Lepisosteus oculatus: one gene and its partners. The protein of the gene in region 1 purifies or fractionates together with the protein of each later gene. This does not show direct contact. Links are inferred from orthologs where the notes say so. Each region holds a gene or a part of one and is shown in the gene's direction. Other genes may lie near its edges. The genes, in order: ccnd1, skp2, hdac3 and cdk5.

Region 1 (6,956 bases):
TAATAGTACATAGTAATATACAGTAACCTTTATATAATATTATTTCTAAGCGTATAACCACTTTAAGGTTATATAGGACATTTAATAATCATCAAATTCTAGATTGTACTTGAATTTGTTGACCAAGTCTGGAAAGATAAAATGAACCTTCCAGTTTTTTTCCCTTCTAATATACCACTGAGGGATACTACAAGGAATTTATTTTAAACAATTAGCTGTATGCCAACAGGAAATGTGATGTATCTTACCATTCTCCAACATCTCCAAACAAAATTACCATCAAAAAACACCTTGAATTTCCAGCAACTTACATGAGATTTTTACTTTCACTTCTTTTGTCCCTGAGGATAGATCAACATGCACCTTTTTATGGAATGAAAAACACACAGGTATAATATAATTACATGAATTTCCCACCTTAGATAATTGTATTGGTAACCACAAAATGCACAGTGAAACATCTGAAATATGTGTGGCAATAAAATGTAACTTGGGCTTTTCATTGTAATTAGAATATTAAACATATACAGAATGTAGCATACATTGCATTTAAAATAGAAAAATAAATCGTACATTTACAAAAGCTCACTAGTTTAGCATTCAAAAGCATTGTGGTTTGCCTTCAGTTTCGCTATGAAAGAAAAGCATGTGACAAACTGTGAACAGAGTTAACCTTCAACAAAACCATTCTCGCAAAATCTTTTAAACTAAAACTAAAAACAAATCTTGAGAGGATGCCTCCAAATCCAAAACCATGTAATAATTGTTTGAAGAGGAATTTTTTATAAAAAACAAATCTTTACCTGGTAACTTTGCACTCAAACATTAATAAATTACACATGCTCCCACGGTGCTAACACACACTAGTTGGCTTGTACTTTCATACATGAGTATGTGATCTCAATTACATAAGTACATCTTTTAAAATATAAATAAATTCACATTTTTGGATTATTAAAATACAGCATATGGTTTAGTACTATTTTTAAACTTTAGAATGTAAATTATCACAACTTGTGGCGACTTTTAACAAAATTTGATTGGTTAAGCCATTCCTCTACCTTCTTCAATGACTGTATAGTATAATACAAAATATAAATATTTTTATAGGACACGTTAAGAAGAGTTTAGGTTTAATTTCCATTACTAAAATGCACGTTTGGAATGAGGACTTTTAATGTTTTCCAGCTTTCCATATTGTATTACATTGATTGAATTGTGTACTGAGTTATTCAAATAAAACTTTTCATAAGTTTCATAGTACTGTGTTAGTGAGACTAGGAGACTGTGAGGACTACATTATAAACTCTCATTATCCCATGATTTAGCCTTCCCAGGGTGATCAAAGTGCGCTTTGAATGCACTGCACCTTTAAATACTTCCCAACTTCGGTTTTATTTCCTGTCCATTTACCGTAGTGAATAAAATAGAATGTTTTATAAAAGAAAATGAGCATGTGCGTTTTCTGATAAATAAGTTAGTAAACTTACAATGAAGATAGAATGAGAAATATTTTACAAAATAATTAACTTGAAAAGTGGTTTCAAAGCGTAATCTGTAGTATTTTTTAAAATCAGCTTGAAAAAACATTTTCAAAATACATCTGCCTTGTAACCTCAAACATCTTGTGGACTCTTACCTTGTGACAGTATTGTTTGCAGTTTGTTTTAATTGTGCATTTGCTGCCTGATGTTAAAAAATAAACGAAATACTCAAAACCTGGATGCAACCCTTCATATTGTGCTCCATAATTTATCTTAATTACCATTTTGAACTGCAAAACTATTTTCGGAATCAAAGAAATATATTGTTTGCTTTTTATGCATTCTCCACAAATACAATCTATAATCAAATTATCAGATTTTCAAATAAACGTTTAAATAATTTCAAATATTGGAACATTCCAAAAACTGTAATTACTCACTGTAGATGCATTTCCTTCTTAGATGTTGTCAACTTTTAAAATGCGTGTATTTTACATATTTTACGGCAAAAGGAAACCCATGTGGGCTTGTTAACATGGGTACAGATTGGAATGCCAGGAATGTAGACTTCATTTATGTTCAAGCGACAGTGGGCTACTTTAAAGTGACAGCGTGCAATATTTAAAGATACCTACGTAATCTGCATATATTTATTATTCCTTTGTAAGCAGATGCACTCACAATACTGTATTTTAGTATTCAAGAGATACTTTAAGGTTTTATAAAAATTACAAAGTAATTTTCTGCTTTCGAGATACATGAAGGAATTAATACTCGCAGGACCTTTTTAGTTTTTCTAAGTTTCACTGGGCCATCCAGAAGTCCTGGTCTTCAGAAGGATCTTTTATGGTACATCTGAAATCAGTCGTGTTTCATTGCAGTAATCTAGAGTTATACCAATTTAAAAACGATTGGATTATCACAGCATTTTACGTGCATGTGATTGAAGAGTTCATTTTTTGTTGCAAATACTTTTAAGACTCGTACTGCATTACAGACCACATTTGAGCAAATAATGCAATTTATGCAGGTATTTAGGTTATTATTTTAATTTATTGTAGATATGTATAGATAATTATCAATTTAAATATGTTTTGTGGTAGTATTTTGTATTTAAGAAATGGTAATATTGTATTACATCTGTGTAAATTGTGCGTGGCAAACGTTACCTTACATACCTTACATGCGACAAGGCAATATTAAACTAATTTCTACTCATCTTAAATGGGGCAATGCAAGTAACTCAAACATCACCTGAGATATTCCTTTGCAAAACACAATGGCACTTACGACTAAAATATATCTTCAAATGTAGAGAATATGTAACATGTTTTTCATTGAGACCACGTGGCTTCGGGTCTACAAGTAAAAATAATTTTGCCTAGATTAATTCTCTAACCAGTGTAAGGCTATGTCTTTAAAAACGCACTTAAATGCTTTAAAATGTTGCATTGCCTAAAAACAGTACAATAGCATCTGTGCCAAATTTATACAAACGGGTAGTTACGAGCCGATAACATAAGTACACGTTTACATTTGACATCGCCACCGGAAACTTTCCACTTTTGATAATGTGTGAAAGTTTTTAAACCTTCCCTAACAACTGCACCACAAGAAACACTGGAGTTCCTGCTTCAGTTTCTGCCTGGTAACAGAACACTCCCCCATTGGTTTAAGCTAATTTCAGTGTCCTCCCATTGTGAAAGGAGGGAGTTGGGGATGTTCCTCCGAAATTACTGCCAAGTTTTTTCAAGTTGGCGAGTTCGTTTATCCAATATTGCCACACGCAGAAAGGAGATAGATCTGCACTTTTTATAAAGACAGTACATGCCGCTTTAAAAAGACATATTCCTGAGCCATTACTCCGTCGTGACCAAAGGAAATACAGGATTAAATCCATCTGCCAACTGTATATTAATAGGCCCATGTATAAGAGATATAGTTAAACAGTTAAAAAAGTTATTACTTTGTTAATAGTGGTTTAGTTTGCATTGTCTCAAATATACGGAAAATGGTTGAAGAACGTGGTACAAAGAAAGCAAGAGTCATTCATTTTTAGAATAAAGGCAACATTCAACGGCTAGCCATCTAAATATGCCTCAGTATTTGTTTTTGTATACTAAATATACAAAATAGTTTTATCTGCACTACAATTATAATAGTGCAGAATACACGTTTTAAGATAATAATAGTGCACACAGCTGTAGATTTACACCTCCCCTGTTTCTCGTATTTGCCTGTGTTTTGTGTTCTATAAAAAAAGGAAATGAAAGTGGTATGGGGGACTGTAATGAAAATAAAAAAATTCTCCTGAAGGACAATTTCGTGAATGTGTCTATTATCCATCCCCCCCCTCCTCACACACAGCTACCCCAATCCGATGTACCCCCGCCTCCCTCCTCTGGACCCCCCTGCAATACACTCTCAGCGCCGCCACCATGAAAAAGGACCTCCCCATTTCCATACCTAAGCAAAGCTCAGCGATGGGAAGGACTACGAACTTATATGGGATAGCTCTTTAAGACTTACTCTCCTCTCTGAGGCCTCTTTCTCTCTCATGCTCGGAGTGGCTTTGATCTTTCCTTAACAACAGTAACGTCATTGCTTAGTACAGAACTAAAGGGGAGTTCTGTTGAGGACTGCGAAGTTTTGGAGCCGCCAGAGGGCTTGAGCAGCAGCAGCAGCAGCAACAGCAACAGCGAAACAGCATCCAAGAAACTTGCTCAGCGCTCCGTCTGAATCCTTCGAAAGTCCAAAGCTTAAAAAAGTGCAGAGACATGGAACACCAGCTGCTGTGTTGTGAAGTAGAGACCATCAGGAGAGCTTACCAAGATGTCAACCTCCTTAATGACAGAGTGCTACAGACAATGCTAAAAGCTGAAGAGAACTATCTTCCTTCTGCAAACTACTTCAAATGTGTTCAGAAAGAAATTGTGCCTTATATGAGGAAAATTGTTGCCACATGGATGCTTGAGGTTTGTGTGAAAAAAGAAATAAATCTGTATGTTTATATTCTGCAAGCTTTCTGTCCTGACTTTTCGCTCTGCCCTTTGGACCTAATCAAATGCACTGCAAATGAGGAATTATATAAAATAGAAATTTAATCCAGTTCACGTTTTTCCTCCACCTACTATTGTATGTCTGCATAATTGTTTTGTATATCGTTGTGCTATTTGTTCACCACTTCGTTGCAATGTTTTTTTATTTTTTCTTTTTTTCTGGCTTCTTTCACATACGGAGGTGATTTTATCAATACTTTTATTTGTAGTACAACACGGGTATTGTGGTATTAAACTTTCGTTTATTCTTTAACCCTAGGAGCTTTCTAAATTATTTTATTTTAATTTATTTTAAATTAATATCAATGTACACGTATGCAGTGCAACTCGTGCCAGTAATATGCGCCATCTTTGTTCTCGTGCGGTAAAGTATTTAATATATTAAAATTTCTATAATAATCAGATGATTGAAGAAAATGTCATGAATATAACAAAATACAGTTACTTAAGCTATTCGTATAATTTAATGGTGATTTGAATATTAAAAGGGTACGTTTCTTTGTTAAAAGTTTTTACAGAGCTATACAACCATGCTTCAGCAGCAGTATTTGGAAAGGCTGTTGCTAAATTACGTTAAAAAATACCTGTAGTTATATTAGAAGTCGTTCCAAAAATTTAGCAGTCGAAAAGAAGACTAAATTTGCAACATTTACATAGTTTTAATATTTACATTTTCCAATTATTTCTATTTTTTATTAATTTTTGAAATTGCGCGTCATGACGATACCGAAATGTCGCATGCTCATTCCAGAAAAGCGATGTGCTATAATTTTAGTTCTTTTTACTTATAATTTGCGCTAAACATCGTAAATTCTCGATACCAACTGATAAAGTACACGTTGCAGGTCATTACCATGCCATTTTTATGCTCTGTAATAATTTTAAAATATTTTTAAATATTTTTTGAAAAGATGACGAACTACAAAATTCTTAGGGTACGTCGCTTGGGACGCCACCTTTGTGTCTTGGAAAAAAACGTCTGCAAAAAAGGAACAAAAACTAATGATAATTTCCGTACTGTTCAATAAAATTGTTTTAGTTTTGCCAAATGTATAACTTAATACAAGTTTAGAAAAGAATAAAACTGATATATAGCTATTATATACAGTGGGCATAGGATAGCTTGCAGAAAGCAACAGTTTTCCGTTTGCAAATATAAATGTCAAAAGTTTTCATATTTTGATTTTGTTAAAACAGTGTATTGATTCAGACACACAGCATTTAAAGCATTTGTGTGTTGTTTCTTATTTTATTTTCTATTTGATTTCAGGTCTGCGAAGAGCAGAAATGCGAAGAGGAGGTGTTTCCTTTGGCTATGAATTATCTGGACAGATTTTTGTCGGTGGAACCCACTAAGAAAACCAGATTACAATTACTGGGAGCTACGTGTATGTTTTTGGCTTCAAAAATGAAGGAAACCATTCCGCTAACTGCAGAGAAATTGTGCATTTACACCGACAATTCAATCAGACCCAGCGAGTTATTGGTAATTTAAAATCAACACACTTATTTTCCTCTTAGAGATTTAATAAGGAAATAGTAACGCTGCTTTTTTAAAACCTGTAATGCATATCATTTGTAATGCATTCTTGCAGAATGTTATCGATTTTTTAATGTCACTGACTTACAGTTGTGATAAATGTTCGACATTGGTTGTATTACGTATATATCTATGATATCATACAGCGTCTTCTTTAAAAAATCGCAGGTATATTTTCACATATATTAATAAACTATCAATTTTGTCTTAAATCAGTACTGTATGAGAATACTTTAAGATTCTGATACTTAATTTTACCAATTTCTTTTCCGCTGGTAATACGTGTGGCAAGAGCTCCCTCTTGCGGTAGAAAGAAGCCCGTGACGAACATCTCTGAGCATACAGTATTCCAATTTAGAGCTGTGAAGTGCCAGAATAACCTTCTCACGCTAATGCGTGCTGGACAACAACGCGTTTCTTGATGGAAATTCGCAGGCCATTACTTTAAATTGATTTCATTTTATGTTCTTTTCCACAGCAAATGGAACTACTGGTGTTAAATAAGCTGAAATGGGATCTTGCTTCAGTGACGCCTCATGATTTCATTGAACATTTCCTTTCCAAACTGCCCATCCACATGGACACCAAGCAAATTCTTCGCAAACACGCGCAGACTTTTGTGGCTCTTTGTGCAACAGGTACGCACGGGGAACTGTGAGCTATCCACACTGGAAATGTCGTCATAACGTGAAATATCCACATATGTGATAAACCGCATGTGCAGTGGTGCAGGAATATTATACATTGCAGTATGTTTTTGGTATGGGTAACTTAAGCATTGGCAAAAAGTGTTTGTTTTAATATATTTCCCATTCGTTAACCCACAGATGACGTCTATTTTACATTAAGCTTTCACTTTGTACTGTACGTTGA
Region 2 (7,308 bases), on another chromosome or scaffold:
TTGCTGCATTCAAGTATCTCCTTCTCACATTGTGTACATACATGCAAAGATACAAGGAGGTCCAATTGCTCAGTATGTTGACCCAAACATCCTTGGTGTCCCCAGACTCAGAAAGGGATACAATGGTCACTCTAAAAGATATTTCCAATCTACATTTCTGGCTAAGTTTGGATATCTATGGATACCAATTCGGCCACACGGGCAACAATCTTTTAAGCGAGTGTTTAAAATAAGTAACCATTTTATAAAATGGCACAAGCCGCCTTTTCACACAATAAATCTGAGAGCATTTTATTAAAGAAGCCACTACAAATAATGAGATATTTCAACCGTAACAACAAGCACATCAATATAATGCAAAATACATACGCATGAAATATAAAGGAATAACAATAACATTACTTATTATGTATTAATGTTTTGGTGCTGGTTAAATTGGAGACAGCTCTCTGCGGAAAGAGCTGCAGCTGAATATCACTTAAATGATTAATGAGCTACTCAAGTGAAGACTGGCGAGGGAATAGAGTGGTGATGCTACTGGTTTGATGATGAAATGATGACAGCTGTCATCTGTGTCCCATCGGCGCCCTCTCCACCCCTCCCTGGGCTGAAGTTGCCAGTGGCGATGCCCAGTGGCAGGGTGGTGCAGGGGTGGGTGAGGCACCTGCACAATTTCATTCTGCTTACCCCCACCCCCACAAAATTATGCCAACAGAAAACAAGCAAGCAGTCCTTGCGAGAAGCTGAGAAAGGCACAGCTACAGGACACAATCCACCCCGTACTCCCGCCCTTCTCCAAAGGACACTATCACACTCCCTGCCATTCCATGGCAATTCACAGGTCACAGGTTCACAGGTCACAGGAGTAGAGGTTCACCACTGAACCTCTATTCTCATCCCAGCTGATGGGGGACGTCGCCTGGCCTTCTGCTCACGTCACTTCTTTCACTGCAGGTCCAGCTGTTCTCCCCGATGGCGAGTGAAAGAATCCGCCCCCTGCTGGCACACATCGTCATTTCCACGCAGGACACCCGAAAAAAAAACACGTTGCGTTTCCTTTCTTCTCTTTTCAGCACGGAATAAACCTTTACTTGTTCCTTTTAAACCTTCACGTGTTCCTTTGCAGCCGACTCATGCTGACGCAGCTACTTCCTTGAACTACATATTGTCAATTTCCCCACTTTCGAAGTAAAGCATGAGCCACACGAGAGAATCCGGGTGAAAAAGCAGCACACAGATGGGCTTGTAAGGCCAGCACAGTCGTTGACTGTTAGTCTAACTGTTCTCTTTTTCCCCGAAACAGAAGATTAAGGTACTTTCCACTTAAGAAATTTGAAGACAAAAGCACACATAAAGTATGGCCAAAGGGAAGATTTCGATTGCTTCCAGGTTACTCCACACAGCGCCCACCTGGGACCTCTTCTTTAGAGCATGTGACACATGCTGTGAACAACTTGGAGACTCCTTTATCTTTCAGCTGTCCACACAGCCCCAGACCTTCAGACACTGCCCGAGCCACATGACAGGAGTCATCTGAAACAACCACAGGCTTCTAAACTTCATTCCCAGAAAAAAAAAAGGCAGCACAATTTCTATTATCTGTCTATTGATATCGCTACATTCCTTTACCGAGAAGGGCTCTCTCTCTTCTGGGACATGATTATGTTAGCTTCCAAGATCCTTCTCCCTTCACCTTCAAATGATTCTCCCATTTCTCCTCTTCACTTTTCACCTGTTTGTTCACAAACTAAAAATATTTCCACACATGACACTGTATAGCATGAATAAATATCAAGCATGTCCTGTATTTCCAATCAACCTTTGCTGCTGTAAAGCAAATGAACTGGGTTTGTTGAGTATTGCCTTTACCGTCGAAATGGCTCATCCGAATAAATGAAATATTTCATAGAATTCAATTAGTGAAAGGCAATGTGTTCTAAATGTGAATAAAAAGTGGGTTTACAACATTTAAGCATGTCTCTCCTTCCCGTATGGAAGAGTCCATTCACAGTAAGCATGAGACGGGGCAAGGTCAGATTCCGGTTGATCCTGTGACTCTCGCACAACAGAAAGTATATGCTGTTTAAAAACAATGAAGAATGTGAAAGGACGAGCACATAGCAACAAGAGAAAAGGGAAAAGCCAGCGTATACACACCCATTCTGAACTCCGTGTGCGCACGTCATACCTGACAGCACAGGCTTTCACAGCAGCGGCCTGGAGCTGTCTTTCTGACGAAATGCCCCCGACCCTACCGTTTACTTTCGTGCAGCTGTCATCTGCTCTTCCCGTTAGCGGCGCTGCCGGCTCAGTGACCAAAATTCTCAAACCTCCAACTCTCAAAAACAAATCGTCATAGTAAGATCTTTGAAAGCAGACCAGAAGACGTGCGGTTTCACAAGCTGTGCTCCGTGGAGTTACACACCGGCACAGACTAACGGGCAAGCAAGAAACAGCACAGTGAAAAAGCCGAACACTGGAAACTTCAGTTCCCCTTATACACGGCTGCTTGTTTCTATGCGTTACCATAACAAATGCTGGCGAGGATCAGCACATTACAAAGCGCCTCATTTCTCCTTATTTTACTGGGCATCTGCCGAAGCGATGGCACGGTTATAATTGTTATAAAACAATTCATTGGGCACCTACCTTCTACAGCGAAAGAACGGTATTTTTTATATTTTTCTTGACCTTTTAATGGTAACCTACTTTCAAATGATCCGCAGAGTAATTTACCCTGTCGCTAATGAAAAAAACCAGTCCCTTACCTCCAATGGCTCGTATCCTTAACAAAAATCTCCCGGAACCCGGCTCCCAACACTCCCTTGTATAAGACAGAATTACTATATTGCACCAATTCTCAGATATGCGTGTACCATAAAGCATCAACGTCACATCCTGTTCGCTTCCTACCTTGTGCAAACGTGAAAGAGCATTATAGGAGATGGAGTCATTGTAGTCTGCCCTGAGTGTTATTTCGAAGGGAAAGTGGCAGACAAACTACATTTCCTATAATCCATTGTAAAACGGTCGCTATTTTACGTCATAGACCGGCGACAGTTGCGAGCGCCAGTCTGAGAATTCGGCATACGTATTTTCCTGTTACGGTTCAAGGAGTGTAAAACAACAGCATATAGCAAAGGTCCTGTGCTATTCTGCCCCTCTGGCCTGTTTGAGTGCTTGTTCTTAATTGATCCGAGGTTCTTATTTAGACATTTTTATTTCAAAGAAGCCATGTGTATCGGCTTCAAAAGCATGGCGAAGTAGCTTGTTCCACTCTCCATCCTTCTTGTATAGAAGTGCCTCCGGTTTTAAAGACAATTTCTTGTGCGTTCTTCATAATAATCGTTGTACATGATATGCCAGTGTACTTTAAAGTTACACAAACTTTGTCAATAGTTTTAATATGGTTTTAGATTAAAATTATTAATACATTGCCTCTATAAACACCATTCATATGTATATTTGGGAGGAAAAAACACTTTATCCACTACTGAAATGCAACTTGCCTAAACCATTATGGTCCTAATTCGACCACACTTGTGTAATATGACTATTAATTAAATGAGTTATTTTTCCTTTATTATTTCAACTGAAAGCGATGAACAACAAATGGCAGCTTTATACAGATTGTTATAATATACATTAAAAAAATCATATAGGAAAATAATACAACATAAAATACCAATACATTATATGTTCTTACAAAATACAAAAGGTAGACGGACGATGCAATACAGACACGAACCGTGAGATGACAGAGGCAGCGCACAGGCACATCTAGAGCCGCGCGGGCAGCCAGCGCAGCCGGCTGTGGGGATCCTGCGTGTGACGTCAGAGTGAGCCGCCAGGACAGCGAAAACTAACCACGATTAAAAAAAAAACAAGCATGTTCTCCGACGCGGCGGAGAAAATGTTTCTTAGTGAAATGTGCATTTGTTTATCTAAAAAAAACTATCACAAAGGACGACGTCAAAAAACATTAAATTATAACTTTTATTAGATAATGCATATAACACAGTGCATTAGATATATTCTATAACCTACTGTATAATATCATTATCCCAATATCATCTCAGGCTCACTATATTGATATTGGCTCACTATTGATATAATTATATCTATATCATCTCAGGCTCACTATGGGAGTCAAACAGCGAATTGCGCGAAGGCGTGAGCTACAGTTTGTGCAACACTGAGCGCAGAATGCGCAGCCAGACGTCACCTTGTTTTCGCAGCGTGCAGACGTGCGAAAACAACCAATCACGAGTCACTTCCTTCCTCGTTTTCCCAAAGCGCTCAGTATTACAAGCACGAAGGCGGGCAACCAAGCGGGAGGTTTAAAATTAATCCCGCTTGCTTGTGCGTGGAAACAATATTGAGAATTCTGATAAATCTGACGGACACAAAGGGAACATGTCTAAAGAAAGGTAAACGGGAGATCCTGGTTCCCTAGAAGGATTTTGCGTGTTCGTTTTGGGCAGCATATTATTAAGAAAGTAGACGTGGTGTGAGATGAGTGATGATTATGATTGCCTGAGACATGGGAAATAAACAGGACTGCTCAAGGCTAGAAGCTTATATGATATATACTGGTTGAATGTAAATCATTGCATGATATGCAGAAAATCTGCGTCGATGTAGTAAAACGAACGTGTTTTGCAGTACATGCTGCTTTGCCGATATGCCTGTCCAATTCAAGTTTGCGACGCAGTAGGGGTTACGGCTGCTGTTTTTCAAGTTGATTTCATATTGCACTCAAGTGAGCGGAGCATACACATTGATGGTCGATCGAAAACGGGATCTGTTTTTTTTTCTCCTGCCGGCATCACTGGGTCGCCGGCTCTTGGCAGCACTTTGCTTTACGGTCGTCGCGCAAGCGCGCGCTCTCAGCTTAGGGTGAGTCGGCCCGAACAAAAGACAAGTGAAAGAATGCAATTAATTCACAATACGCAATTGATGTGTTGCAAGGTAAAATGACATCTGTGTAATAAATGGTTGTTTATGCATGGGATTTGGGAAATAATTTTTTATATGTAGCAAGGCAATGTGGGGTAAGCGATGACGCTTTGTATTAGGGCGGGCTACACAGTACTATAAGTCACTGATGTTAATTAAAAATACCTTTTTATATGTACCTATATTTTTCATTTGCGAACATCGGTCCTACCATATATGCAATGACTAGGGACTCGTAGTTAGTGCCGAAGAGACGGTAAACCTAGGTCCTGACTGTGATCCCTTAGTACTGGTGAGAGTAGGGATGTTAGTTCTACTTAAATTACATTCCGGGTTTTTAGTTAATGTTTGATCTACCTGAAGTTCTGTTCTGAACTCGGCTTGCTGTGTTGTGAGGCGGCTGGCACGTGGTGGTAGCCGCATGTTCAGTGGTGGAGGAAGTGGGTCACATCCTGGATGTGAAGCGCTTTAGGATCCAGCGGGGTGAAAGGCGCTATATAATCAGAAGGAATGATTAGAACAATTATTGTTGCAATGCAAAAACAATTCTGAGTGTGTTTCATGGTGTACCCCGCGTAGTGCCTGTTGCTTGCTGACCCTGTATTGCATAAAACAGTTTCGAAAATGGATGGATGGTTGAAAGGTGTCAGCTGAATTAGATCAGAAAGTGGAAAATGCTGCAAGTACGTGGAAATCTATGAAATGTTGGCTTATCTGCATGTTGTGGATAGGTCTGGTTTTGTCATGTGGAGCTACATGAGTAGTGAAGGAGGTTTTGGTGTGTTTTAACAGTTGGTATGTTAGGTCTCCATTCCCAGCCCTTAAGAGCCCCAGTCTAGTTATTCTTATATGTCATACTTAATTGTCTGTTATTTAAAGATTGGGACCACTTCTTTAAGCATTGGAACAATTAAGCAAGTAATGTTCAAATAGAGGGAACACTGGTCCTGGAGGGCTGCAGAATATTGATTATTGTTCCAAATGATGTCTTAAAAACTCTTAATTGAACCCGTCTTACTGATCATGGTTCCTTTAGTAACAGATGATTTAAAGGCTGGATAAAAACACTGTAGACTTTTGCTCTTCAGGATCAGGGCTGGAGATCGCTGCAATAGGATGTTGTTAGTGAATATAACAGGCTTGCTAGTGGACTAAAATATGAATTTTCTCAAAACGCTTTGTACCAGTGGGTGAATGTTCATTATACATTTGAGCAAAGGTTCAGAATTCTGCCACAACATTCTGTAGGTACGTTTGTTGGCAAATATTGCGTGCTGGTGTGCGTTGGCGTATTTTGCCATTCGATTTATTGTTTTGAACTTTGGATCCGTAGCTCATTCCAGTTTTTTGCTGTGCACAGTGTGCACAGTAGTGCGCAAAAGTGAACAGTACCTAAAACCCACAGAAGCCTGCTGGCCGTGAGTCCTCTGTGTACTGTATTTTGTGGGCTGGCTGGAGGATGACAGATTTCGTTAGTCTGATGGTAGATGAAAATGTGGGTGGGATGTCCGTGTCCAGAGTCTAGATCGAGGTTTGACTGCTTCCACTCAAAGAGAGCATGGAAGAGAACGACACTGTTGACGACATCGCTTTGGGTGCTTGGGAATGCCATTATTGTACTCCTCAAAAGGCTTTTTCTTTCAACGTGTGATCCCGATTTAGATTTAAAAAAAATAGTTTCCTAGCTTGTTTTTCTCCCTCGTTGATGTTGCAGAAGACACCTCCAGGAGCTGCCTTCCATGAGTGGGAATCTGCCAGACTGGACACTGTCCACATCGCAGGGGGGGAAGAAGGGGGTCCAGTCGGATATGGACAATGAGAACACCCCTCAGGACCTCATTCACAGCTGGTCCCCTCCTCGCAAACAGCAGAGGATATGCCGGGGGAAGGAGAATGAAGAGGCCGTGTTTGTCTTGGCCAGGAGGCCTTGGAGGAAGAAGGAACAGACAGGTAGGGTTAGCGGGAAAGAGAAGGGGAGAGAATCTGGGCAGGTAGGGTCAGGGGTAGTGTCTGTGGGAGAGGGAAGAGGAGAGAAATTAGGCCACTCAGAATGACAGGCCTGTTTTTAGTTTTTCCTCACTGTGGTCTCTAGGTATCTTAAACGCCAAAAAGGAAGCAGGAAAAGAAAAAAAACTCATTTTGATGGATCCTACTTTGCATGATCCTTCTGTGGCTGGTGAAGGAACCTTGGTAGTGTTATCTCCCCTCCCTCGTCAGTCATTAGCAACTGGGAGTGGGAGGAATGGGACCTGGAATGCAAGCACGAAATGGCTACCTGGGAACTGGCTTTTCAGCTTCAGCAAGCTTAACCCCCCTTCTTTGCTCCGACAGGGTTCTCCTGGGACAGCC
Region 3 (7,432 bases), on another chromosome or scaffold:
ATGTTCAACACATTTCGTCCCAAAACAGAAACAGTGTGCCCCTGACGTTGTCTGGAATAAACGCGTTCATGATGTCGATGATGAGGGTGATCACGATGATATTATTACTGCCACAGCAAGAGGTTAGATTGCAACATCATCCTCTATAGCCAAGGTTAAAAACAGAAAACTGTTTTTTACACCTGTATTTGAAAATATAAAATATCCAGCAGTAAGTGAGCTAATTATGAAGTCTTGCTAAGTACTGCCCAGCATGTACAGCAGTTCTTCTTATCTCTAATGAACTGATTTAGCTGCGTCTGTCCTTCAGGGCTCAGCTTTCACAGCCTGGCCTCGGGGTAGCACTGTTTGCCCTTGTCTGTCCTGGCTCGACCATAATTACTGTTGCTGTGAAACACTGAAGTCTGCTCATTAATGCTTCATAATGTGCAGAGGTGTCTAAGCAACTGTAGGGTAAATGGTAAGCATTTGAGCTCCCTGTGACTGTGCCTCGTCCTCATGTAAGATTCTATACAGCTGGAGAAGTAGAACTCTGTAACAGTAAACACTGTAACCAAGCAAAGTTACAGCAGCTCCCTGCCCGTGCAAAAGATACAGATGCATTAGATTGCTTCTCCTGTAAACATCTTCGCAGGCTTTCGATAAAGCACACTTGCATGTGTTGTTGTGCCAGTAATGGTGACCTTGGGTTTTAAGTGTTATATTGCCTGGCGTGGCTAACCGCCTGTACTGTACTGTACCTGGAGCACAACAGCATTATTTTCCAAATGAACCCACGGCCCTTGTAAAACATATTTTCGGCGCGTTTAGCGTACTGATGATGGTCGTATACCAAATCACAAACAAAACGGGTAAGGAAGAATGTATTCTCAAATCACATCCTGAATGCTTTAGAGTAGACGGAGGCGGCTAAGCAGGTACAAACCGGAGTCAACTGTAACCACACCCTCCACTCCTAGTGAACATTAAGACGCAAAGTTGAAATCATTATTTAAAAAAAACGACACACAGGCACCAATTGAAAATGCCTGAATGGACTGGGGTCAGCATCCCGTCTGCTCTGTACTTTTTCTCATGTGAGGACTGTTAGCGGTCAGGGATTCTTGGGAAATGAGAATTTGTCTGGTTCCTTGATTTAATACAGTATCCACATGACAACCACAGTGGCCAGCTGTGGAAAAATTCCATCAATCCCTAATGCGAGAAATAACTTCATTCTAGAGTTGCATTGTGAGTTATGCAACTGGAAAATAATAAATGCTACAATGTGTCATTTATTATTATTATTAATAATAATAAAATTAACAGGCAGTTTAATTTTAAACAATATTACCGTAAATCTTTATGTACAAATTCATGATTTGTTTGCTACGGGCGTCACGAATTGCGGAGAATCTAGCTTCGTTGCTTTTCAATGAAGATTAAATCGAAAGGGTTAACTTTCTCCCTTCTGCACTAAAACCACCCTTGTTTGTTAAATGTTTCACATACACCGCCCCCCACCACCACACACACACACACTGACACGCTCCTAATTTCCGCGCCCTGATGTCACACGAAAACGGTGTTCAAGGTCTTTTTATTTAAAAAGAAAAAGGTTTTCCTGTCACTTAACTGCTTTCCAATACCTCGCGTCGCCATGACAAAAAAAAAAGAGAGAGAGAGACTCCAGGGGTGGGAAGAGAAGGAAAAACAACACCGTGCGCGGGTCTAGGGAGATGCAGGCTGCAGCCTGCATCTTTTCCAAGTTTCTGATCCCTGATAATGATCTGGTGGGCCCAGCGCGGCCGGTGACACACCTGCCCTTGGGCTTGGAGTCAGACTCCGGGGACACCGTGGGCTGCATCAGTAGGGCGCTGCTGAAAGCCGTCTAATACCGTGGCAAGACAGTCACAAATACGGGCACAATGTCTCACCAATAAGCCCGTTTCAACATGTTTCTTTTTATCTCTGCGAAGTGTGGGATGGTTTGCGTGTGTGTGGGGGGGGTATAATTCAATATTAATAGCATTCTCCATTCCCACTCAAAATAAACAATCCTATAAATATATATATATTTTTTAAAAAAAATCTCAGTCTGAGGGGCGTAAGAACGTCATAGGAAAGGCAGTACAGTATGCTTAATGGTCGTTTGCTGCCCCGAAGATGAGATGAGACGGAACTGCAAGACGAGCCCTCTGCTTCACGAACACAGCCGTCTCTCCCTGCTCCTGCAGCCCCGCATCACAAACACTAGCCAAGGCACCCAGCTCTCTCATCCGCCCACCTTCCCCGCACGCCCGCTGGCCTCGCCGATCAAGTGGCTGCTGTTCAGTGAAGCCCCCTAGTCGCCCCTTTCGTCCTAACGGCAGATTAAGAGAGGAGGAACCTGCGCTTACCGGGTGCTTACAACTGGACGGCGCTGCTCCTGTGCGGGACCATCCAGCGGCGCGGTGCTCCCGAGATCCGGACGAGCGCTGCTCTGAAGGCGCACCGAGGGAGGGAGAGAATCTCCTGCAAGTTATTTAAAGGGAAAAAACCTCAAAGCTTTGGATGGGAGTGCTGCGTGCGGAAGGAGACACGCGGCCAGCTGCCCCTCTTTCAATTTCTGTGATATGCAAACCCCCTCACTTCAGAAACGATTTCATCACCGGTCGTATCTATCATCATATATTGTGCTTTGGTCTCGCTTTACCGTTTCACTGTAAATGAACCTCAGCGTGCACTGTGAGATCAGTCTCCTTCTGAAACGAAAAACTGCCCTTTTTGGAATGTATCGACTACATCGGTATTGCTCCGTGTTTAAAAGAGTTTATTCATGTAAAGAAAAAGATAGCATTTCAAGTTAATGTTTTTTTTTGCTTCGTTATATGAAAAGGGGGGGACTCACTCTTACACAAAAAGTGTACATCCAGCGTGGTCTAAAAAGTAGTTTTTTTTTTTTAGGGTTAAGGAATGAACCATACATATTTTGACACCTGAAGACAGTTTCTTTCCCTTTCACCATTTCATTTTCATTTTTCCATAAATATTTTGCTTGCTCATAAATACACACACACACACAATAAATACACACAATACTCGTTTAAATGTCATACGCCCGATGGGAAACGTAGTGGCACTTTCGCCCTGACTAGACGATACACAGACCAGCTCTATAAGGGAGAGCTTTAAAACGACTTGAAAACATTGTAACAGCATAGAAATATATCAATAGAGAAGGCAGTTTCATTCACCCCTGGAAGTTTAAAACCCCTTACCATAAAGGATAGAGGATAGTATCTCTGTCATTCTCAGGGTGGCAGCTGTGTTGTTTATTATCAGCACTGTAGTTGCTGTGCAAGACTGAATTGGTAATATTACTGTAGCTGCAGCTATGTGAAATCTGGGTGGTTTCGCTTATTTTAGACCCCACTACACCGAGATAACATGTTCTAGATTGTAAGGAGCAAAACAAAATTCTTCACGGGACTCCCCTAACAGTTATTATCCTCAGAATGACTTCGAACAGGGGGGACGCAGGACCTGTGTCTTTTTTAAGCTGTGCGTTTTTAAAGTCGGAATTTAAACTTTGTCCGATTCAAGGAAGTGATGGGCTGCCTGGTTCTTTAAAAGTTATGTAAATACAACCAGTAAGCGAAGTCTTGTTACAGAATTTGTTAGCATATATAGTATAATATTATAGAGAGACTTGAACAACACATTCTGAAACATACAGGAATACAGGAGGACCCGACACTCGAAATCGTGAAAGGCGCTGGAAAAAGTAAACCAAAACATTTCTTCACAATGAACAGTGAAACACGAATCGGGGGACACGAGTAAAAACTACGTGGCAAAGCAGCTAAAACCGTGACACGGGAGGCATGTCTTTGCACCAAGGGTCGTGGGGGTGGGGAACAAATGTAGAAGATAGTATGGTCAGATATGATTGAAGATTCATATGAATTTATACTCATTTCACATTACACGTCGTTATAAAATGTAATACTCGTTTATCGATGTAAAAAAATCGATTTCTTATAGTAGATTGGTGCGATTATAACTTTCTTCAGATCTGCCGTGTGAACATATTTGGGTATGGTGTTTCTATATGAACTAATCATCACCTGTGCTTTTTGATATCCAGATTTTGATTTCAATATGTTTTAACACGCGGATATCAATATTTGATATATCAAATATTGACATATTGACGCGCAACGATAAAAACGGAATTTCTCATGAAAAAAATAAAATACCGATAAGAATACGATTTGAAATATTTCCGATATCAGAAATTATTTTTATTCTATATTCGGTAATCGAGGCAAAGATGTTTAAACGCTTAATCGCAATTTTAAACATGAATAGAAATGAAAGTTCCTTAATACGAGACCCCGCCACTTTCGACGTCTACGTCACATAAACATACGTACGCATATTCGTGACGTAGTACACCATCTGCTGTTTCTGATGACGTCCCGCACAGGTCTCCCGTGTTTTACTATGGCGGCGATTTGGTAAATTAAAAAGAAAGCTGAATTAGAGTGAATTAGAAATCCTGCTTGAAAATTAAGTACAAAAAAGAAGGACTGCCTTCACTGCTGTCTGGACGACACTCTCTGTTCGTTTTCCGCTGTGATGACGAACAGGACGGCGTATTTTTACGACCCAGACGTGGGGAACTTTCATTACGGTAAGATGGGCTTGTGGCTACTGTTATTTTATCGTTTGCATTAAATTTCCGATCTTAGCCCCAGCTTTCCACCGTCTTACTTACTACGTGAAATAATTTATCAGCGGTCCTGAACTTTTATACGAGTGATGATCGATATCTCCCTTCTGAACTTTGCAGGTGATTATACTAATTTACAGCTGTAGTTGCAGAAGCCTTTATGAAGTTCAAACCCACTCAGACAGCTCCTCTCCTTCAGTAAATATTATTTCCAGTGCCCATTTTCATTTTAGAATATGTCTGCTCCTTTCATATTGACATGTGCGGTTCTGAAGTGCACAGGCGCCTCGTTTTCATTTTAACATCCGGACGGCCGGATCGTCGATTTGTATTTCAGTACCTCCGCATAGCAAACAAAAAACAAAAATCAAAACCGGCAAATTAAAGAAAGATAGCTTTTCGTGCCGTCACAAGGCTGCAGAGCTTGTGGTAGAAATTACCGAGGGATATATTGTTGTGTTGCTTTTACTTTTGACATCCTTATTTAGGTATGTATTGGGCCCGACAGGCTGAATAAGAAAGGTTTTAATAATCAATTTTGACAAGATGACAAACCCTTTCATTTTTATCCCGCTTAAACCGCTAATTTGTTCATTTATGTACAGTAGCTGCTCAGTGCAGTATTGCTTCATGGTGAACTGATGAGGGATTTCCAGTCCATCTCAGGGGAAATCGTAGAAATGCCAGTTAATGTGTAAGCCCGAGATTGAGCTGTAGGAGAAAACAAGGGCACCTGGAACCAACATCTTGCCTTGGGAATAACACTGAATCCAGGACAGGAAAACCCAAGGACATTGTTGTCTCCCAGGACAGGCGATGTGCAGTTTTCTCTCATTGACAAACGCATCACATTCTCCCACCCTCTGTACGTTTACGCTTCTGGTTTGACTTACTCTACAATACCAATGAATAATTCTTTCATTTTGGTTGTGCCCTTTTTAAGGTGCTGGACACCCAATGAAACCCCATCGACTCTCTCTCACCCACAGTCTTGTTCTGCACTATGGGCTCTACAAGAAGATGATGGTATGTTTTTTTCCCCAAAGTGAAGATTAATTTTGGCAGTGAGGAGTTTCATCTCATTTGAAGAAAGGGGTTTTAATGATTTTGTGTGTTATGAATTTATGCCTTAGGCGTTTTTGGCCCACACGATCTAAAAAATGTGTGGAGTTACAGAAGTGTTTGCACATGAGGCAGAGTTTGACACGGAGTTGGAGTAGAAATGTAGATGTTGCCTGCGCAGATGTGGAGGGCAGTGTAGGTCAGGGGCCCGCAACTGCTAATGTTCAAAGAAGAATCTATATAAATATGTATATGTATTTGCATTGTTGGGCCTTTTTTTAAATCCAGAGTATTTACAGGTAATGATCTGTATATACAACCCTTGGTTGGATATATGTGCATCCAGACCCCTTGGTACCATTGCACACCGGCTGTGTTTGTACTCTTTGTACAGTATACAGTGCCCTTGAAGTCTTTGTCTGTCTCAGGTGTTCAAGCCATACAAAGCCTCCCAACATGACATGTGCCGCTTTCACTCGGAAGATTACATCGACTTCCTGCAAAAGGTCAGTCCCAACAACATGCAGGGCTTCACCAAAAGTCTCAACACCTTCAACGTTGGGGATGACTGGTGAGTACAGGGGTGTTATTCTGTCTTTGGACATATTTGTCTTTTCAAATACGAAAATATGCTAGCAAGCCTGCAGGCAGCACGGTGGGCGCAATGGTTAGAGTTGGTGACTCGCAGAGCTGGGGCTCTGGGTTCAATTCTGAATCTGGTGCGCTGTCTGTGTGGAGTTTGCATGTTCCCCCGGTGTGCACATGTGTACAGTTTCCTCCCGCAGTCCAGAAACATAGTGGGAAGTACATTGGCTTCTGGGAAAGTTGACCCCCCTGTGTGAGTGTGTCTCTGAGTCTGTCTAACCAGAGGTGGACTAGTGTCCCGACCAGGGTGTGTCCTGCCTATAGCCTATAGAAATACGATGACATTTAAAAAGAAGACATCTCTGTGGAAAGAAGAGGCTGTCCTGAATGGATCTGCCTGCTTGATTGGGCTTTTGTCTGTACTTGGCTATAGGTTATAGCTTGGTGTCTCATGTTTCACAGCCTCGTTCTTGAGCTACAGAAAACTGCCTTCTGGTCCAGAACGTTTCTTTCAGTTGAACACGCGTGGCTTACAATCTGGTTTTGCTTCTTCACATGGGAGCAAGCCTATAGACATTTTAAAAAGAAGACATCGTTGTGAGAAGAAGAGGCCTGCTATGTCCTGGGGCTGCTGGTGCAGAATAGTTGCTTGCGATGGTTATAATCACGATGGTGAGTGGTGGAGTCATTCTCAGTACTCCGTTATGTGTGAGTTAATGCTCTTGTCTCCTGTCGTTGCCCAGTCCTGTGTTTCCTGGCCTGTTTGAGTTCTGCTCACGCTACACGGGAGCCTCTCTGCAGGGAGCAACGCAGTTAAACCACAAGGTACTGTCTGCCCAGGCAAAATGCTCTTGTTAGCTGTGCACCCAGCCAGGAGAGGAGCATGCAGGTCCGCTCGGTGCTGTGGTGGTTTCGACGAGAGAACGTGCATCTCATCTGGATTTGCTCCCAACTGAGTACTTGTTTCAAAGCGCGAGCTCTTTCCAGGACCATTGTGCAAGTCAGGCTGTCGTTCACTCCATTTTCCTTGTTAAATGGGCTGCATTGTTCGCATTTCAGAGATAGGGGTCTCTTTCTGTTGATTTCATT
Region 4 (7,563 bases), on another chromosome or scaffold:
ATCTCATCTGTGTGTTGAGCAACGGGAGCGTCACGGAGGTAAGAGGGGCAGAAAGTTTCTCAGTAGAGGTTAACAAAGAATAAAACTGAATTGCACTGTTCTTTTTAGCTGTAGACCTGGGGGATCAGTGAAGACTGTGTAATTCGGGATACAGGAGATACCGTATTGAAAAAATGAGTACTTGTTCCCAAAAAACTGTGTTCATGGACAAGATAACATATCTTAACTAAAGGATTTGTTAAACATCAGGGTTTTTACAGAATAGAAAGACAAAACTAATTACTAATTTCAGGGACATGATTAATTTGTGATTCTAATATCAAATATTGTCTTAAATCTGACAAGCTCATACTTCTAGAACTGAGAGGATCTGTAATATTCTCTAAAAACTGAAATAAATGTTCTCTTAAAACAAGATTGTACTGATAGGCGTAAATCCAAGAATGGCTGTTGGATTCATTTAATTAATTAGAAGAGAATTAGTTTAAACCTTAACTGCTTTAATAACCACTTTCAGTCCAACTTTAGACTGAACATTGTGTGGTTTGCTTAATGTCTTCATCTTGCAACACTGAAAAAGAGATGTTGTTCTTTTTTTGTCTTTCCTAAGGCTGGTACACATTCTGAACTTCTGAAGAAAGGTGGACTGTACGCAGATCTGACTCAAAGACAGAGGACAGAGGGAAAGAAATGAATCTAAAGTAGCATAGTCTACAGAAGATTTTAATCAACAGTTGATCTTTGTCTTTGCCTTCTAAATCAATTTCTTTTCAGATCGATTTCACTTACTGACAGTTCATATCCTACAATCTTGTAAGAAATTATTGACCATGATGGGAAAAATCAGAGCAGTAAAATGTCTACCTGCTTTGAGAATGTTTGTCCAAAAATGCATTTTTCTTTTGGTTTTGAAATATCATTGGAAATGTTTGAAGATCTAGTTTAATGTAATCATGAAGTTAAAAAGTTTGTACAATACTGATTATAATTTTTGAACTATAAAAGAAGGTATATCCCTTAAAAGCAGACAGCGATGAAAACACTACAGGAGTTTGTCAGCAGTAATTTATGAAAACCATTGAACAGGAAGAATTATTGCTTGAGTTTTGCTTTATTTTTTTGGATAATTAAACTTGACAACTTTTTCAACCCTAAGAAGTTAGGTGTTGAGTAATTTTGGAAAAGTATAAAATGATTTCTCTGTTTCCTCTTTGACTTTGTATTACATTTACAGGACCATCGTGTTTAAAATACAGTAATGATATCTTGAAGGACGGGAAAGTATTCTACCTTAAGGAGTTAGAATTAGCATCTACGTCCACTTAATAGACCAATGACATAGTGTGTGTACAGGACCTTGCAAAAGTATTCAGACCCTTCTTGTGGTGTCCCATTTTGTGAAATAAAAATGGATGTACAGTATACACATTTTTTAAGCTCTAATTTTTTAAAAATCAGTGCTGATACAGCAGATGTTTAGGGTTAAGATAAGCTACTGTAAATGTCAGCAAAAACTAAAACAAATAAATCTTAAACATATTGATTGCCTAAGTATTCAGCCCCATGAATTCAATATTTGGTGGTAGCACCTTTGGCAGCAATTCTTTTGCAATTGCAATTGTTTCAATTATCCTGCTGAAAGATGACCTGTTATCCAATAACTTGTTTAAGTCTTTAGTAGATTAAGGCAGGTTTTCTTCTAAGATTTGCTTGTGTTTTGTTCCATCTATTTTTTTCTTCACTCATCACTGCTCATTTTGTTCTATCTAAGCTATTGAGCTGTGCAGTTCTTTCAAAGTTGCCATTAACCTCGTGGTAGCATCCCTTGCTCATCTACTCAGTATGAAGATACAACCTGATCTCAGAAGTTCTCTGGGTGATACAAGGTGCCTTCCATTTCTTGATGATTGAGAGACTTTGGATGAGACCTTAAACTTAGATCCTGATAATCATTATTGTTGTTGTTGTTGTTATTATTATTACATTAATAATAATAGCTCACACTTATATAGCACTTTTCTGGACACTCCACTCAAAGAGCTTTACAGGTAATGGGGTCCCCTCTACACCATCACCAATGTGTAGCCCCACCTGGATGATGTAACAGCAGCCATAGCAGCCACACATCAACTATTAGTGGGGAGGAGAACAGAATGATGAAGCCAGTTCATAGATGGGGATTATTAGGAGGCCATGATTGGTAAAGGCCAAATGGGAAATTTGGCCAGGACACCAGGGTAACACCCCTACTCTTTTCAAGAGACGCCCTGGGATTTTTAATGATCACAGAAAGCCAGGACCTTGGTTTTACATCTTATCCAAAAGACAGTGCCTTTTTACAGTATAGTGTCCCTCTCAATATACTGGGGCATTAGGACCCACACAGACTGCAGAGCAAGCACCCCCTGCTGGACCACTAACACCTCTTCCATCAGCAACCTTAGTTTTTCCAGGAGGTCTCCCATCCAGGGACTGACCGGGCTCACACCTGCTTAGTTTCAATGGGCTGCCAGTTGTGAGTTGCAGGGTAATATAGCTGCTGGCCATTAAACGATCCTGTGGCAATCATGGTAGGATCAGGGTGTTAACTCATGAGCCCCAGCTCAGTTCTACTCTAGGCTTACCCAATACAGCCTACCACAACTCTTGATTCAATTAGTAGAGCTATTTTTCAGTTTTCCTCTTGATATGTTGGGTGGCAGTGCTACTGGAATTTAACAGATGTGGACTTCACACAGGTGGGTGCTGTTGCTCTGGTGGTTAAGGTGGATCCTTTAAAGTGAAAAGGGCTATATAAATGCAGTTTAATAATTATATGTTTTATTTTACTCTGTTGTGTCTATACTATTTTATTCCAAATGTTAGAGTTACAATCAGATGTGTATTTTAATATAGTGCAGTTTTCAAATTTTAATCTGAGAAAAAGCATTCCATTTTCTTCTTCTAAGTATAGGTGGTGTGAATATAGACTTTTGGTAATGCAAGTACATACTTGTATTAGATTATGAGTTTACAGAAGTCTGTTTAGTACCTCAATTAAAATACACGTGCTATAGTACTATATTATTATTAACTATAGTATTATAGTTGTCTAATCTTGATTAAATAAAGACTTGTATAAATCATTTAGTATTGGACAGGCAGCGAAAGTGTTTTAACAGCAGTGTTACATGGTTGGAAGAAGGATTATACTTCTGCTATTGTTGAGTGGAAAAAATGAGTGCGGGGCCAACAGGTATCAAGGACAAAGTTGACTTTAATTTTGCAGAGAATGGCCAATTGATGCATTATCTATCCTTGGTCTCTGAGCTTCCTTACATTGAGCAAAGGTCCTTTCAGCATACGCGCTCGTTATTTACCACACACTCCTTAATTACTGTACCACACAGTTCAAAGGCGCCATCATTGTGACACTTCCACCTCCCTTAAGAAGGAATCCTGAGCCCTTTCTAGGAGAGATTGTTTAGTCCCAGTTAGGAGAACTCAGAAAACAGTTCAAGATGGAAAAATTGAGGAGGACACAGGTTGCAGCCGTGGACCTAGGAGAGGATGTGGACACCAGGGAGTCTCTAGCGAGCAGCAGAGGAAGGCTTCTGTGTTGTCTACTCCTCTCCCCCACCCAAAACTGGACATAGACAAATCAGGGCAAAGGGGAACATGAGAGACCACAATGTTCAGGATGGTTGGAGTTGAAGAGGACGCCAAAGACCATCGAAGGATTACAAAGACGTTCTTCGCTGTAGTGGAAGGAGGCACTCCCAGTCACCGACTTAAGCTGGTTTTGGAGAACAGTGATCCTGGACAGATCCATCTTTTTTGGGTCCATCTTGTTCATATGGTCTATGAGTGTGTGTCCCTTGGATATTCTGAGTCATGGGCTGTGTGAGATGGATAGCTTGATAGGCTGTAATAAATTGGGATATAATGTAGGATTACTTATGTACACTGGGGTCGATGAACTGGTTCTAGGTTGAAAAAGACAGTGTTGTGGGGGATAAGGGTCTTAGCACCCATAAAACTTGGAGGAGTCACCAACTGTCAGTGTTACTGAAATGTTTCAAATAACACGAGAAACAAAAGAAACACCAATGTTTCTGAAGTACATCAAAGGGGTTTATTTCAGTACCATCAATTAATTTATCAACTTTGTTAATATTGGAAACCTACAAATGTATTCATTTTATTCCAAGAAAGATCTGTTGCATCAGTATCTGAATATTAGACGAGCATTTGTAAAGTGCAGAAACCATGGTATTTGTTTCGGAGTCTGTTGCAAGTAAAAAGGAGTGATCATCACAGTAGCGGATGGGAAATCATTGCTTCGTTGCTTGTAGAGAACCAGGGTTGTACCAACAAGATGCAGTTTTAACTTCCATTAACTGTTCTATGTGACAATGAAATTCCAAAGAATTTAATAAGATTTAGCAAAAAAAAAAATGTATGTACACGGAAAATGTACTGTATGAACAACACCTTTGCCAGTCCGTCACATTCGCTGTCGCTTGTAGTTCAGGGTGGTGACAGATTTTGTAGTCATGCAATTCATTTTTCTGCCAATAGATGTCTCAGTTTGTTGTAGTCTTACATTCAAAATTTATTGCAAAACCTCCCTTGAAATTAATCCTGGGAGAAAACAAAACATACATATATATAATTTGAACAGAAAATGCAGAAATATGAGAAACTTGAGAAGATTGGAGAAGGTAAGAGACAATGCACATTTGTTAGATCAGATATATGTAGTTGTGCGTTTTTATTGTTTTGTGTGCGATGAAACCCTGTTAATTCTTCTTGTAGTCAGTTTATTTAAATCTCCGTACGACTGTGGCCTACGCTGCCATCAGAAGCCCCGGGCCTCGCGTAAAAGCTAATGCGGAGTTTGGGCAAAGCAGGTTGGTTACAGGCAATTCTTTCTGATGGTCATTTTCGTGATTCAAAGGTCGTCGGTTCTTATTTATCGACGGGAATGAATGAAACTATTCTTAGCTTTTTGTTTAAAATTTATAATGACATTTCATCTCACTCTGAATCGGTAAGATAACATTTTTCGTTTGTTTGATCCGCTGTTTTGTGGGCTGTCAATTCAGCTTTAGATTATTTCCATTTAAAATTATCTGTAGAATCTTTTTATATATATAGAAATATAGCTAATCCGCTCCTTTTTAGCATTATATTAATGATTTTTTAAAACCTGTCCTGTGGTAAAAGATGGTAAATTATTAGCGCTTTATTTATTTGTAATTAGCCTGAACCGCATTATAGCAGATGTCTTTATTATCTTAGTTAGTATAAATGTAAAATAATATCCTAGTAGTTCTATTATTTTAAACCTTTTTCCTGAGGCCCAAGCGTAGTTGGACTTAGAGTGTAACTGATGATAACAAAACGCATTTCTAATATAAAAAGATGATTAAATCGGTATAGAAGCAAGCAATGTTGTTTTTCAAACTGTTTTAAATGTTGAGTGCTTTTAATTGCCACTATTTCATCTGCTAAAATCTCGTCTAATGTTTGTTGAACAATATGTATATACTGCATCTATAATCATAATGAATTGTTCTGCTCGTCTAAAGCTATTAAACTAAAAATTCCCACACATGAAATGTTTCCATGGGAACCGATATACTTCGGGATGTGTTAGTAACCTGGGAAAGTTATTGATATAATACTATTAGGGGGGACAGTTATCAAACAAGATATATCTGCTTACTGACTTGTCTCTTCCGAAACAAATAACACTTCAGAATTCGTAGTTTTACTGTAGTTTTGGCATGAAGAAAACCTACAAATGGGCACGGACAGTTATCCTGTACATACAAACGTAAGAAACTGGAAACTTTATCTCGGTCTCTCGGTCGTATATTCTTAAAGGAATACGCGATAAAAGAGAACGCCTGTGTATCCTTTTTAGTGTTCTGCCTCCGATGAAAACAAATCATCATTCTCCATAGCTTCGGGTATTGCAGCTGCCTATTTGTAACAGCAATCTCACGTGGCAATTAAACACAGCTGGTTTCACTGCATGCTTGTTTTATTTTGATCTCCTTCCTTACATGGTAAGGCTACCATCATGTTTTTCATTGCAATAAAAGTTTTCCCGTTATATAAATACTAAATTAACCAGATATTTGTTTTGAAGAAGCAAATACAGTTATGTATTCTGCCTTCAAGATATAATCATTATTAATAAACATAGTTCCCTGTCTCATTTGGAAGTCATTGTAAGATTACTTCCCAATTGATACTTCTACCCTTTGTTTCCAATTTTTCTAAAAGCAACTATTTCTTCTTTGTCTTTTATTTATATTCATACAGGTACATATGGAACAGTCTTTAAAGCCAAAAACAGAGAAACTCATGAGATTGTAGCTCTGAAAAGAGTACGGTTAGACGACGACGATGAGGTATGAACTGGTTATTTTCTTTTCTAGTGCATACCAAGTGAGGTACTGAAAATTATCATGTGTTTTCTCTCTGGTAAATTTCATGATAGATTCACAACAGATTATTTGTTACATTCAGGTGCTATTAAGAGTTTAGACAAAAGCATAAAATTTGCTGTGTGATGCAGTTACAATTAATTTAATAATAGAATTACAAAACTCAGAATGCAGTTTGAAACTTTATCCATAGTGACTTAAATTTACCATGTTTATACATATTATGCCTCTTATGTATTAGTATTATGTCTCTAATTTTTCAGGGTGTTCCAAGTTCAGCATTGCGAGAAATTTGCTTGTTGAAAGAACTAAAACATAAAAATATAGTTAGGTAAGTGGTTTTTGATTTCTTCAGTTATTAACTGGCATGAAACAGACTTGTTTAATGGTGTTGTGTTGAATCATGTTTGTATCTGAAGCTTGATATTGGAATGTAAATTATGTGGTGCTCCTGCAGGTTTGTTTGTTTCTAGGTAACAAGAACTTATCATTTTGTGATTCTTATAACATTTAAATTGTTGTTTGTCTGACATTCAAATTCTGAATGTATAGAAGTTGTAATCATACTGTAACTTAACATGTAGCTCCTCTCAGATTCTGAGGTGAGCAACACTCATTGAACTACAATTAAGAATGCCTTTCTTAATTTAGCAGGCCCAGATTGGCCGATATATATGTTTTTGTGACCCAATGCTTCTGATCTCTAGTTTGAATACCTCTTACAAGTCAGGGGACTAGCTGTGGGACCTGGGTTTGTAATGTAATAGATGTTATAGGGTAACTGCAGTATATTTTTCTATCTAAAGTATATTCACTTGCAATTTAATGATAACACTCTTAGCCTTTCCCTGATTTAAAAACACATATATATACTAAAACACAGTGGCTGTTCAACCGCTCTACCTGCAAAATATGCAAGTACTAAAATTATAGATAGAAACTACAGTTCTTGTAGAACTTCACTAGAAAAATGTTGTTGTTTAAAGGGGAAAGTGAAGTAATTGTAATACTGTATGTGGGATAATATGAAGAATAAACCATTCAAACAATACCACAAACTCTATTTTAAAAGAATTGGGTTTCAATTCAACAACTGCACAAAACATAATGTAAATCAAACTGT

The links.
Region 2: the proteins of ccnd1 (region 1) and skp2 purify together in Homo sapiens (affinity purification with western blotting; 3 studies listed by BioGRID, with this or other methods). This does not show direct contact. The link is inferred for Lepisosteus oculatus from reciprocal best matches to the Homo sapiens genes CCND1 and SKP2.
Region 3: the proteins of ccnd1 (region 1) and hdac3 purify together in Homo sapiens (affinity purification with western blotting; 5 studies listed by BioGRID and IntAct, with this or other methods). This does not show direct contact. The link is inferred for Lepisosteus oculatus from reciprocal best matches to the Homo sapiens genes CCND1 and HDAC3.
Region 4: the proteins of ccnd1 (region 1) and cdk5 purify together in Homo sapiens (co-immunoprecipitation; 4 studies listed by BioGRID and IntAct, counting the BioPlex papers as one, with this or other methods). This does not show direct contact. The link is inferred for Lepisosteus oculatus from reciprocal best matches to the Homo sapiens genes CCND1 and CDK5.

What each region holds. Positions count from the first base shown.
Region 1 is NC_090716.1:5,510,193-5,517,148, forward strand, and holds the start of ccnd1 (G1/S-specific cyclin-D1), read left to right. Parts: upstream 1-3,950; 5' UTR 3,951-4,261; coding exon 4,262-4,459; intron 4,460-5,813; coding exon 5,814-6,029; intron 6,030-6,561; coding exon 6,562-6,721; intron 6,722-6,956. UniProt on the Homo sapiens protein: Regulatory component of the cyclin D1-CDK4 (DC) complex that phosphorylates and inhibits members of the retinoblastoma (RB) protein family including RB1 and regulates the cell-cycle during G(1)/S transition.
Region 2 is NC_090698.1:15,353,413-15,360,720, forward strand, and holds the start of skp2 (S-phase kinase-associated protein 2), read left to right. Parts: upstream 1-4,304; 5' UTR 4,305-4,416; coding exon 4,417-4,430; intron 4,431-4,860; exon of another isoform or gene 4,861-4,971; intron 4,972-6,673; coding exon 6,674-6,909; intron 6,910-7,290; coding exon 7,291-7,308. UniProt on the Homo sapiens protein: Substrate recognition component of a SCF (SKP1-CUL1-F-box protein) E3 ubiquitin-protein ligase complex which mediates the ubiquitination and subsequent proteasomal degradation of target proteins involved in cell cycle progression, signal transduction and transcription.
Region 3 is NC_090706.1:38,473,148-38,480,579, reverse strand, and holds the start of hdac3 (histone deacetylase 3), read left to right. Parts: upstream 1-4,418; 5' UTR 4,419-4,602; coding exon 4,603-4,657; intron 4,658-5,639; coding exon 5,640-5,722; intron 5,723-6,186; coding exon 6,187-6,329; intron 6,330-7,086; coding exon 7,087-7,168; intron 7,169-7,432. UniProt on the Homo sapiens protein: Histone deacetylase that catalyzes the deacetylation of lysine residues on the N-terminal part of the core histones (H2A, H2B, H3 and H4), and some other non-histone substrates.
Region 4 is NC_090701.1:30,515,130-30,522,692, forward strand, and holds the start of cdk5 (cyclin-dependent kinase 5), read left to right. Parts: upstream 1-4,549; 5' UTR 4,550-4,666; coding exon 4,667-4,703; intron 4,704-4,803; exon of another isoform or gene 4,804-4,870; coding exon of another isoform or gene 4,871-4,892; intron 4,893-6,315; coding exon 6,316-6,404; intron 6,405-6,703; coding exon 6,704-6,771; intron 6,772-7,563. Other genes in the region: abcb8 (mitochondrial potassium channel ATP-binding subunit), read left to right, coding at 1-38, 611-694. UniProt on the Homo sapiens protein: Proline-directed serine/threonine-protein kinase essential for neuronal cell cycle arrest and differentiation and may be involved in apoptotic cell death in neuronal diseases by triggering abortive cell cycle re-entry. Interacts with D1 and D3-type G1 cyclins.